Linked DNA regions of Nothobranchius furzeri. The protein of the gene in region 2 purifies or fractionates together with the protein of the main gene of each other region. This does not show direct contact. Links are inferred from orthologs where the notes say so. Each region holds a gene or a part of one and is shown on either strand. Other genes may lie near its edges.

The links.
Region 1: the proteins of strip1 (region 2) and fgfr1op2 purify together in Homo sapiens (affinity purification with mass spectrometry; 3 studies listed by BioGRID and IntAct, with this or other methods). This does not show direct contact. The link is inferred for Nothobranchius furzeri from reciprocal best matches to the Homo sapiens genes STRIP1 and FGFR1OP2.
Region 3: the proteins of strip1 (region 2) and sike1 purify together in Homo sapiens (affinity purification with mass spectrometry; 3 studies listed by BioGRID and IntAct, with this or other methods). This does not show direct contact. The link is inferred for Nothobranchius furzeri from reciprocal best matches to the Homo sapiens genes STRIP1 and SIKE1.

The regions. Positions count from the first base shown.
Region 1 is NC_091741.1:59,845,429-59,849,182, forward strand, and holds the start of fgfr1op2 (FGFR1 oncogene partner 2 homolog), read right to left. Parts: upstream 2,800-3,754; 5' UTR 2,535-2,799; intron 1,954-2,534; 5' UTR 1,952-1,953; coding exon 1,817-1,951; intron 1,571-1,816; coding exon 1,453-1,570; intron 1,023-1,452; coding exon 880-1,022; intron 789-879; coding exon 675-788; intron 1-674. Other genes in the region: med21 (mediator of RNA polymerase II transcription subunit 21), read left to right, coding at 2,856-2,897, 3,234-3,348. UniProt on the Homo sapiens protein: May be involved in wound healing pathway.
Region 2 is NC_091743.1:46,738,296-46,742,049, forward strand, and holds the start of strip1 (striatin-interacting protein 1 homolog), read left to right. Parts: upstream 1-1,102; 5' UTR 1,103-1,302; coding exon 1,303-1,539; intron 1,540-2,953; coding exon 2,954-3,023; intron 3,024-3,127; coding exon 3,128-3,202; intron 3,203-3,279; coding exon 3,280-3,414; intron 3,415-3,509; coding exon 3,510-3,630; intron 3,631-3,751; coding exon 3,752-3,754. UniProt on the Homo sapiens protein: Plays a role in the regulation of cell morphology and cytoskeletal organization. Required in the cortical actin filament dynamics and cell shape. Part of the striatin-interacting phosphatase and kinase (STRIPAK) complexes.
Region 3 is NC_091755.1:53,138,427-53,142,180, reverse strand, and holds the start of sike1 (suppressor of IKBKE 1), read right to left. Parts: upstream 2,440-3,754; 5' UTR 2,295-2,439; coding exon 2,136-2,294; intron 1,838-2,135; coding exon 1,732-1,837; intron 1,650-1,731; coding exon 1,507-1,649; intron 1,412-1,506; coding exon 1,298-1,411; intron 901-1,297; coding exon 778-900; 3' UTR 1-777.

The DNA.
Region 1 (3,754 bases), on a different chromosome or scaffold from region 2:
TGGAAATATTTAGATTATTAAAAGTCTGATAAAAACAATGAAAATCAAGTCTGGTAATAACCAACTTGTACGTAATGACCATAAAATGGCCAGCTCAGCACTTCTAATATATTTTCTACATTTTCTAGTTATTAATAATTATTGATATTAATCAATATGCTTTTTATGTATATCGTCCAGCTCTATTGGTGGTCACAGATAGGTTAATCTGATCTACCGGGATTTGAACCTACAGCCTTCTGTAAAATGTACAGATAATAAAACTCTCATGTTTAAACCACAAACATAATGCCTGTTCTCTACTTTCTTATTTCCATTAACATTGTGTTTAAACTGATTTCTTTCATGATTTTATTTTCTCTGTAGCTTCTTATTGTTTAGATCACTTAACTACATGACCCGTTTGTCAGAACGTTACTCTCAGTTATAACAAACTGAATGAACCAGTGGGAAAACCGGTCCCAAATGTACTGATTCATAGTTTAACCCACTATGGCAGATGCTTTGATCCAAATGAGTTAGTCTTAAATGATATTGCTTACCTGTGTAAGATGACTCATGAATCATTTAAATAGCTAAACTCTCCCTTGTTTCATTCATGTCAAACATGTTTTCCTGCATCAGAATTCAGAACATTTACAGGGATGATGCAGCAACTCCTTATTCGTCTTTACCTCTAACTGTTTAATCCTCTCCTCGTCTTCACATATTCGGTCCTCATCCACCTTTATAGCTTTCCTCATCACAGATGCCATCTCGTTGATTTTGTCTATGTGCGCTTGCATTTCCTGCACAGATCAACAAAAAATGATTAGAAGATTTTACATTACAGTTATTAAAATATGAATTAGAAGAACAAAGGAAACCCGAGTTGCTGACCGTGGTGTGCTGCTCCTTCAGCTGAGTGACGATGGCGGGGTCATCCCTCTTGCTCGCCATTAGGAGCCTGAACACCTGCTCCCTGTATTTAGTCATGATGAGCTCTATCGCAGACTGGTGTTCCTCCAAAGATGTTCGGAGCTCTGCAGAAAGAGAGAACGCATGTTTGGTTGGCTAACTATGACAAAGTCATTCTCAAATCATGGTATGAGAGCTCCCTCTAGTGGTACGAGGAAGACATTTTAGTAATGGTATAAAAAGGTAAGTAGGCTAATTATTCACTCTTAATTGGACCATGGCAGCAAGCTAAGTAAGTGACTACTAATTACTGAACAAATGAATAGGGAAATGCAGTGAAAAATATTTTGTAAGGATTTTAAATAACTCTAGTCGATCTGTATATGTCTATGTAAATAAATTTTACCTTAATGATGTCTCTGGATATTTGTAAAAAACATTTTTTCTGCCCAAAAACATTTCAGTGTTTGTAAGCAGTGTGATTTGACAAAAGTAAAGGAATGTATTGTACCGAACAGGAAGCAATCACCATGAGTATTAACACTGAAAGACTACCTTTGTTTTCCTGCTGGAGTTCTCTGATCTGACGGTTCTCTTGTTGGATTCCCAGAACCAGACTGGAACGAGGCCGATGTCGCGCAACCTGGTTCAGTGCATCAATCTCTTCCTGGTACTGTCAAATGTGAAAAAATAAATAAATAACGAATCAATAAAAAGCTTCGCCCTCAGTAGTTATGTCCTGTAAACTAAACAGCAGTCAACGCTACGGTTAAAATATTCCATCATTCTTTGGAATGCACTTTACTTTCTTCTTTTGCATTATAGAGTGTTCAGTTATAGAATTAGTAAAATGTGACCCCTGGTGGCACTAAGCTAGTACCCAACAGCACATAAAATAGGAAAAAAAAAAATCACATACCGTTTTTATAGCCTCCACTCTCTTGTTGAGAGATGTTGTCTGTTCAATTAGCATCTCAGCGGCATTGTCGTGGTTACGAAGCCTTTCCACTAATGATTTGGCATCTGCCAAGACCTTCTCTAAACTACAATTCATACCTAAGGAAATACAGAAGCATAAAAACAACTTATTTTTGATTATTCAACAGCTCTGACTTGTTGGTATCAATTTATTGAAAATAAATATAATTAATGCAATACACTACGAATACATGCAAACAAATCAGTCCAGTAAGTACTAATCTTTATTTCTTCAAACTCAGCTCATTCAAAGATCTGTCTACTTCTATATTAGTTGTTCAGAATCTTTTTACAGACAGCCACACGAAAATACATGAACTTTCACTTCACCACACTCTGTAAAATAATAATAATTCACCAGAACGATCGAAATGAGCCATGAATAAACGTTTCTAAAGCTAAAGAACCTAGCTTGAACCTTAAGCCTCCTCGTAGGTGATAGCACGCTAGTTTACAGCCAATAATGCATTGATAGGTCATTTTACTCTAATAAGAGTTTTATTACTTAACATATTTTGCATTTACTGACACAATTTATCACCACAACACTTCATTAATCAAATATAAACTACCGAGGAGTTCATAACACCAACCGGCTGCTATAACTAAACTTGTAAGGTCCACAAAAGGCAGCAAAACTGACAAATGTGTGGTCATACCTGAAGAGTTCAAAGTACAAAACCACTTGGGTTGAGTTAGCTTCTTTACTTCCTGTTGTTGTTTGGTGGCTAACACTGGCTAAAAGCTGACGTTTACTCCGGATTAGATGCTTTGGCGCGTTCCCATTTCCTTAAAGCACGAGAGTAAATATCGCTAGTCATGAAAAAGTCGATTTAAAACCTATCCACATTACAAAAAACCAGCCGTGGGACGGTCACAGCCATCGCTTCAGCTAACTCGAAGCCTCTTGTTTATTTCCGCGAGACGTTAAACTCTCGCGAGGGTCACGTTGGGGAGTTTTTTATTTTATTTACGGCAACATGGCGGATAGGCTAACGCAACTTCAAGACGCTGTCAATTCTGTAAGCAAAACTATTGAAATATCCCGAAATATAATTATTTTCTACGTCAATAGTTATTTTTTTATCTTACACAATTACAACAAATGGATTTAGATAAGAAATATTTGCAGAATTATCGTTTCAGTCTTTTAAATGTAGCTAATCGCTAACTTGCGAGTCTAAGGTTTAGTTAATTTACACAATTTATCACAGCTTTTATGTTTTAACCAATGAACATGGCTTGGTTTAACTGGTAATGCAACTATCAGACTATACTGGCTGTTTATCTATTCTATATTCTTTTAAACAAATGTCCGGAGTTTTAAAACCCGTGTTTGTTTTGTTGCGTGTGAACAGCTGGCTGATCAGTTCTGTGATGCCATCGGTGTTCTGCAACAATGTGCTCCACCTGCTTCCTTCAGTAATATTCAGACAGCAATCAACAAGGATCAGCCAGGAAATTCAGCCGAAGGTTTGTAACTTCAAAGCAAAATCTTTATTTAAATCTCTTTTCTCCCACATTCAGCTAGCCTGACCAGTCATGCATCCTTATGGGAAGCATTAGTTCTCTGTGTAGAATTAAACAGAGGACGAGTCTGGCAGGCCAAACATGCTCACATGCCTGGTGGAAAAATCACTACCAAACTCTCATGGGTTATTTATTTTCCTATTCGAAGAAGCCACAATTTAATAAATTGTTTCAAAAAGGGGTTTCGGGGTTTAATTGTATAAAAGTAAAAATGCTAGTCAACAAGTGAAATACTATTTCCAGGATAAAGTTAAAACGTCAAGAAAAATGTTGAAATTTTAAAGAAAATTGTCAAAACGTCTAGGAAAAAAAGTGTTACCATTTCCAAAATAGCCTGAAGAACTGAATC
Region 2 (3,754 bases):
GAAAAGCAGCGTTGCCGACCAAACTAGTCTCGGAATGCTTCCAGGTCACGACAGGTTATCACTGGCGTCAGCGAGACCCTGAAGGGGTCGTGAGGTTCAGCTTTTATTCTGAAGGAACCGTTGCAGACAGGTGTAACTTATAATAGATTTTATCCAGCTTGTCGAGGTTCTTTATGGCTGAAGGGGAAGTCCGGATGGCCTGTCCGAGACTTCTCTAGAACGCTTTAAACCAAACAAAAGGTGGCGTGGGATAGTTTTTATAATTGTCATATTTTGGTTTACTGGCGAATCAGAATTTGACATGCAAAAGAGGGTTTAAACAAACACCACAGAAAACAATGCCTCGCGTCAGAAACGAAGGTTCTGATTGGATCAGACAAAAGGAAATGTGTCATGTGGCTTTAGCGTTACATGTCATTAGTGTCTAGTGGAAATGCCCAAGATTATAATTACTTGTAAAATACTACTGATCACAGGATTATAATATCAAGTAATAACATTGTCATTTCACAGATTGATTGAACATTGGGCTCACATTATTATTGGTAATAACTAAGTTGGTTGATTATGTGTTTATCAAGAGTTCTTCGTCTTCGTCTTGAGCTGTAACAGAGGTGAAGCAGTTCAATGAGCAGAGTGCATGAAATACCTTGGCCACTATCTCATGTAGATTAGCCTGTGTCAGAGACAAGTCTCTGCTCGAGCAGACGCAGCAGATCATGACCTTTTGGTCAAAAACAGGACATTCATGACACTACAACTGCAATGACTTTGGGACAATAGAATCGTTTCTCATTGGGATTTTACCAACAGACCATTGCAACATCTGAGACTGGATAATGTAAAGTAATACTTTAGTGTTCTTGTGATGGACTGGAGACCAGCAGGCTGCCCACCTCGCACAGTCTGCTGAAGGTGGACACCAGCTCCCAATGGAGTACAGGAGGAATTGGTTACACCATATGAACAATGAATATTTGCTGTAGTGTTGTCCATCACCATTTCTACTTATTGAACAACTAAAAAATTTTCAATGTTTGTTTTTCTGTCCAAATTTTCCTTCAATAAACACATGAAATTGCAAAACAGAGCTGTTGTCCTTGTGCGCATTTACATGATAGATGTACAGTGGGGGCATTGAAAGAAAATATAGAGTTTTTTGTTGAGTAAATATAAAGGTATCTGATGTTTGTATGAATTTGACCGCCGATCGTCAAAACCTTAAAAATTATAAACAATAAAATCTGATCTTAAAGCAAGGGTGGGATTGATCTTATAAAAATAATATAAAGTTGAACATGAATGACAGATTTAATACAAATTCGTCAAAAAGATGCAACAGAAGAACCGAGAGGAAGGTCCACGTACGCGTCAGAAACAAACTCTCGCTCAATTTTCATCTCGCGAGAGTTCGTCCAATTGCTAATGATGGATGTCGGTGGGAATGGTGGTGGTCCACCTGTAAACAATAAACAAAGAGCTATGCTGCCCAATAAAGGCAGGGGAGAATTTCCTCGGAATTCAAGAAAAGACTCAGAGGTGCGTTAACAGAAAAGTTAATTTTTATTTCGCCAGGGGGTTCTGTAATCAAGACGAGGCCTCGTTTCTGCTATTGTAACGTTAGCTTTGTGAGTGTCTCTTAACTAGCATGTCTTTAACAACTCGGCTGCTGCTATCTGCAGTAACTGACTCAAAATGTTTTAAATGTGTGTGTATATCTTTGTGATCTTTTTGTCCTCTGAAATGTTGCTGTTGGTTTAGCTCTAGCTTCGCTTAGAGTAGCTAGCTGATGCTAGCTAACAGGACTGCCTGTCAGAATTCTGTCTACCTGTTGAAAAAATGTGAGTCGGGTCCACTCGTGCTTTATGATCCATTTAGTTGCAGCAACAGTGCTTTAAAAACAGTTACGTGAATAAGCTAACATAGGGTTCTTCCTAGTCACAGTGCGTGTCTGCATCATGATGCATAGCAGCAATTTCCAGAATCTGCTCCAGGAGTTGATTTGACCCAATAAACAAACTGAATCAAGTACAACTAGAAATTAAAAAATACTTGATTTGTCTCTATTTTGGTGCTAGAATTGGTCTTTTAATACTGCAGTTTGTCCAAATGAAACCAAATTTACTCACCATGGTTGTAGTGGATATGCAGGAGCTCCACCATCAGTATTAGAAAGAAAACGATATTTTATATAGCGCCTCTCAAGATAAAAATCACGAGGCACTTCACAAAAACAAAAAGTACGGAAAGAGAGAGAGAAAATTAATAGGAAAGACCAGAGAGCATGCAGGGGTGGGCAGTCCTGGACCTCGAGGGCCGCTCTTTAGCATGTTTTAGTTGTTTCCCTGCATTAATACATTTCATTTTAATCAGCAGGTGATTAAAAGACCTCTACATAAGCTTGATGACCTGCTGAACAGGTTATTCAACCATTGAATTAAGTGTGTTGGAACAGGGAAATGACTAAAACATGCTGGGTAGTGCCCTCAGAGGACCAGAGTTGTCCACTGATCCACTTGGTTTGATGCTTGTACGTAAACACTAAATCATATTTGTTGTGGTTGTTGTGACTCATCCTTCAATTAACAATGGGATTGGGTTCTGGTTAGTTTGGAGATCAGATGTCAGCCTCTTTTCTCATTTTTATGTGTTTTTGTGTAGCAGGTGTTATCACTCGGGGCTGGACACATCTTGTGTGCAGTGTTGTGTTGCTGCAGTATGGAGCTAGGATTGTGTGCAGTGTGTTTGGTGTCAAAAATCCCTTTTATCTAACTCTGACATCCTTATGTTTCACAATAAATCATACTTTAGTCAGGGTTACTACAACACTTAATTTACATCTGGGATATATAAAATGATTTCTTAATTAAAATTCTAATTAGTGATACTTCTTCAAAACTGTAGGCAAGAAATTACTATTATTTTTGTCTGATATCTGATCTCATGTGTGCAGGGAATGTCTGAGTTGCCGGATCTCGAGTTTGAATATTCTGACACAGACAAGTGGGCTGCAGAGCTGTCAGGTTTGGATGCATATGCTTCTCAGAATCAGAAATCTAGATTCAGAATAAGTTTGACTTGTTCTTAACTAGACCATTAATTAAATTTTATTTTGTACCATTTTCAGAACTTTACAGTTACACTGAAGGACCAGAATTTGTTCTTAACAGGAAGTGCTTTGAGGAAGAATTCAGAGCTCATGGTAGGTGGCCCTAATTACCGATAAGATGCTTATAAAATATAAAATGTTTATTTAGCTGTTTCCTTGCTGTGCTTCAGTGTTTGATAAGAAGTGGACGGAGCTGGATGCAGCTCAGCACAGGGCTCATGCCTTGCGTCTCCTGGACAGTCTGGAGGTCATCACTCGTGAGAAGAGACTGAAGGTTGCTAGAGCTATTCTGTACATGGCTCAGGGTCAGTGTTCCCTCACTTTGAATAAAATCAACTTAATTACAAGGTAAAGATCTGCTTTATGTTTCTAACCTTTGATAAATCTCTGTTTTATGCAGGAACCTTTGGAGAATGCAGCTCTGAGGTTGAGGTGCAGCACTGGATGAGATATAACATATTTCTGCTACTTGATGTTGGGACCTTCTCTGCTCTGGTGGAACTACTTAACATGGAGATCGAGTATGTTTTATGTTCAGTTCATGAATGGTTGTTGCACATTAATTGCTGTAAAAGTTGTTGTTTCGCAGAGTTTTCAGTCTATGTATTTTCTGTTATATCACTGATGCACTCTACTCCTCAGTAA
Region 3 (3,754 bases), on a different chromosome or scaffold from region 2:
GTTCACTTAACCAACAGTAATTTCCTGAGATGACATTTACAGTTCATGACAAAATAACAGTGCACAAGTACATAACACTCAAAAAAGTAATGCTTACAAAATGTTACCGTGAGAAAGATGTGCAGTCAACTATTACACATTTACTCTGCAATCCAATCTAAAAATTCAGAGTAAAAACTGGTATTTATCATGTTGTAAGCATAACAATCAACTATGGCAGACAAAATGTACATTTATAAATTTACAATCTCTTTAAAAAACTGCCCACTGTCATTCCAGCGCAGGCATTTTGTTTTGTGAAACAGCCAATAGTCATTTTCTTGGCGATGAACACAACATCACACGTGGTGTACAAGTTAGCGTTTAAAACAGAGGCATTTTACTTTTTGGGCATTTTACTTTTTTATGTTCTTAAAAGATTAAACTCATCCTTTCTCCATTCTAAACAAAAATAAATCTCCCTCAGCTTCACTTCAGCATTTAGATAAATATAAAATAAACCAGTGATACCCAAAGCACCTCAGTCAAACTCCGTTCGTTTATGAGGAATTCACTCCCAACATTGCTGCAGTGAAAACACAACTACTGTACATAAAGATATCTATCATAATGATATACCCACTGGTAGTTAAATGCTTCTGATGGCTTTAATGTTGAATTTAAATTACTTTTACAAACATTATTCTGCAATCTAGGTTGTGCTTAAAAAAGAAAAAGCTCTTCCTGTTTGGTTGGTTGTTCCACCTGATCAGTTCAGACTGCAGCTGCTCGGGTCACTCATTGGTCACTGCCTGAGGGCACTGCTGCTGCTGGTGTTGATGGCTGGTGGCTCTCTTCATTTCCCATCTTCACAGATGCCTGGCTGATGGCCAGAAGGTCCCGAAGCTCCTTGTTCTCAATCTGAAAGAGCCCGGATAACCAAACGTAACCTCGTGTAGATTACTCGTTATCACCAGTCCATGCAAGATGGTTGTATCTATGCGAGTTTGGTTTATTGAATCAACATTTTAACCAGAATGAGTCAAGAAAGTCATCTCAAAGAGTTTCTAAGTTGATCTCAGGTGTGTCCAGATATTTTCATTCATAATCTAATGCTGCACCATACGCTCCAGGAAACTAGCAAACAAGAAAACCTGAGAAACTCCAACAGTTTTTATGCTAGCAGCACTAAGCCTTGTGTGTGTTTGTAGACTCATGCTAATTTCCTGAGCTGTTTCAAAGCCTTAGAGTCACTGATTTTGCCTTTTAAAAGCTTAATGATAACTCCTGACATCACGACTGCCATTCCAGTCCTTACCTCCAGTTGAGCAAGCCTCTCTTGAACAGAGCAGAAGTGCTGATCGTCCACCTGCATGGCTCTCCTCATCACTTGGCCCATCTCACATATCCGTTCCACCTGGCTTTGCACTTCCTGGATAAGATTCAGAAAGCATAACTTCAAACCCCTTTTTCTGTCAGAAAATTACATGACTGGGAATGTTCACAGCACAATGAAAGTTGGTGTACTTTGACGTAGTCTTGGTGTAGTCTGAGCACTGGTTTCGTGTCCAGCTCCTTTTTTGCCATCATCAGCTGGAGCATCTGCTTGCGATATCGACCCATGATCAGTTCTAGTGTGTACTGGTGCTCTTCAAGGGACAGCCATAGTTCTGCGGAAACAGTGGCGAAGACAAAAATTACAGACAAACACATGAACTCTAAAAATACCTAAAAACATTGTAAGGATTTTACCTTTATTCTCTTGCTGCAATTCCTTGATTTGAGTGTTTTCTTGAGTCAGAAGGATGTGAGGCTTGTATTTTGTGAGTTCCCGAATCTCTGAGCTGTCTTCTGTGTGCTAAAAGGCAGCAACAAGGAAAATGTCATAAGTAAAAAATACATTTTAAGCACTAGTTGGATGACTGTTCCACCTCTTGATAAATAATTCCCATTATTTAAATATGCTTTTAAAGGCTGGTGTACTTTTTTGGACGATCAGACCTTCTATCTCAAAATGTCTAAGTACTTGAGTAGAGTTAGAGAAGAGTGTCATTTTAAGCTTACCTGCAACCCCAAATCCTTAATGCATGGCTTAAGTCAGCCTTCTAATATAAATATACTTTCACCCAACGTTTATGTGTGAGAGACCATCTTACCTTGTCTGGAAGAGCATTGCCCACCTCCCTCATGCCCTGCACTCTCTGGCTGAGGGCCCCGGATTGCTCGATCAGTCCCTCAGCAGCCGTATCGTGCTCTTTCAGCCTTTCCAGGAGGGTCCTAGCATCCCCCAACACTTTTTCAAAAGTACAGGCCATTAGCTATTAAGTGACTAGTCGTATTTGTAAACTAAAGCTTCCAAATACCAGTTTGATCAGGCGAAAATTTGCCCGTACTGTAGCTTACGCTGGCTATGCTGTTCAAACGCACAAAAATGTTTTACAAACAAATATTCATATCTCAGCGGACCCTCCTAGATCATTTCTCAAGAGACAGATGACTAATTAAACCAGGACAATGTATAACAAAAGAAATCCCTCTTTTTGTTGGCAACTTCGTATTCGAGAGGAAAAAATATAGCGTCACTTCCGGGATTGTACCGTAAACAAGTATCTTGCCGTCAAACGTATCATCGTAGACGTAAAAATGTTTACGAATCCTTTGGTTTTCTCATTCTCGGCAAGGAAACCGTGTGCATAGACATTTTCTGAATAATTTCATTATCCAACTATCTTCATGAGTGTCTGGTGCGCAGACCTGTGGGAAAAGCCGTTTTAACATTTAATAGCATACTTTACTGCATATTAAGCATTTAATGCCTTTTAAACCTCGGTTGAGCCCAGGTTGAGCCCGATTATTTACTTCAAAACAACTGAACATCATTTCCCATGAACCCATGCGTGACAACAGAGCCAGCTGCAGAGGCTTCCCTAGCCTTCGTCAAATATCGCGGGAGCTGTCTCCCTAATCACTACGTAATGTGCCGTGCTGCTTCTAGCGGCGCTGGTGACAGTGCTAAAAGCTGTTGGGGTGAGTTTTATATTATTTTTCTCTGCTTGGTAAACCGTTGAGATATATTTAAATGTCTTATTTCGCATTTAATTTTTTTATAATTCAGGCGGGGTCACCAAAGCGAACGGGCGGTGTACAGCAGAAGTCGGGCCTGGGTGGGGATGCCTTGTTTTTTCTCGGGCCACAGCAGCGTGCTCTGGCTAACGAGCTAACGTTCCAAACGACCGAGCGACGGTTAAATAGCAAGCTGGCGTTTCTTTGACGTGTCTAAAGTACCGAAGACATGCTACTTTGGCCATTCTAACACTTAAGACGTTTCTAGTTGGTGCACAACTTTTGTAGACGCGAGCTTTGTAGGTAGTTTCTTTGTTTTCCATCATCCTCGTGCCGTTAGCCGCGGTGTTTTCTTCGTTTACCCTCGATCTGTTAGGAAATCAAACACGTTTTAGCGCATGTGTGTTGTATCGGACTTGATTAGCCGTCTGACAAATTTCGGATTTAAAATTGGTTTTGATCTAATTCCCATTTTGGTTTTTGCATTTGTTTCAGCTGGATGATGTCGCAAATGTGCCAACCTACTTCTTAACGATACACCTTAAACTGGACCTTTACGTTTATTCTTAAGTTTTCCAAATAATTACAAAAAACAATTTATACGACGTACTTCTCTTGAAAGAAAGCATCTTTGTTTATATTTTTTCGAAAGTATCAATATACCATTTATTAAAATCAAATGAAGAATACGTGGCATTGTAGCCTGAGCAAC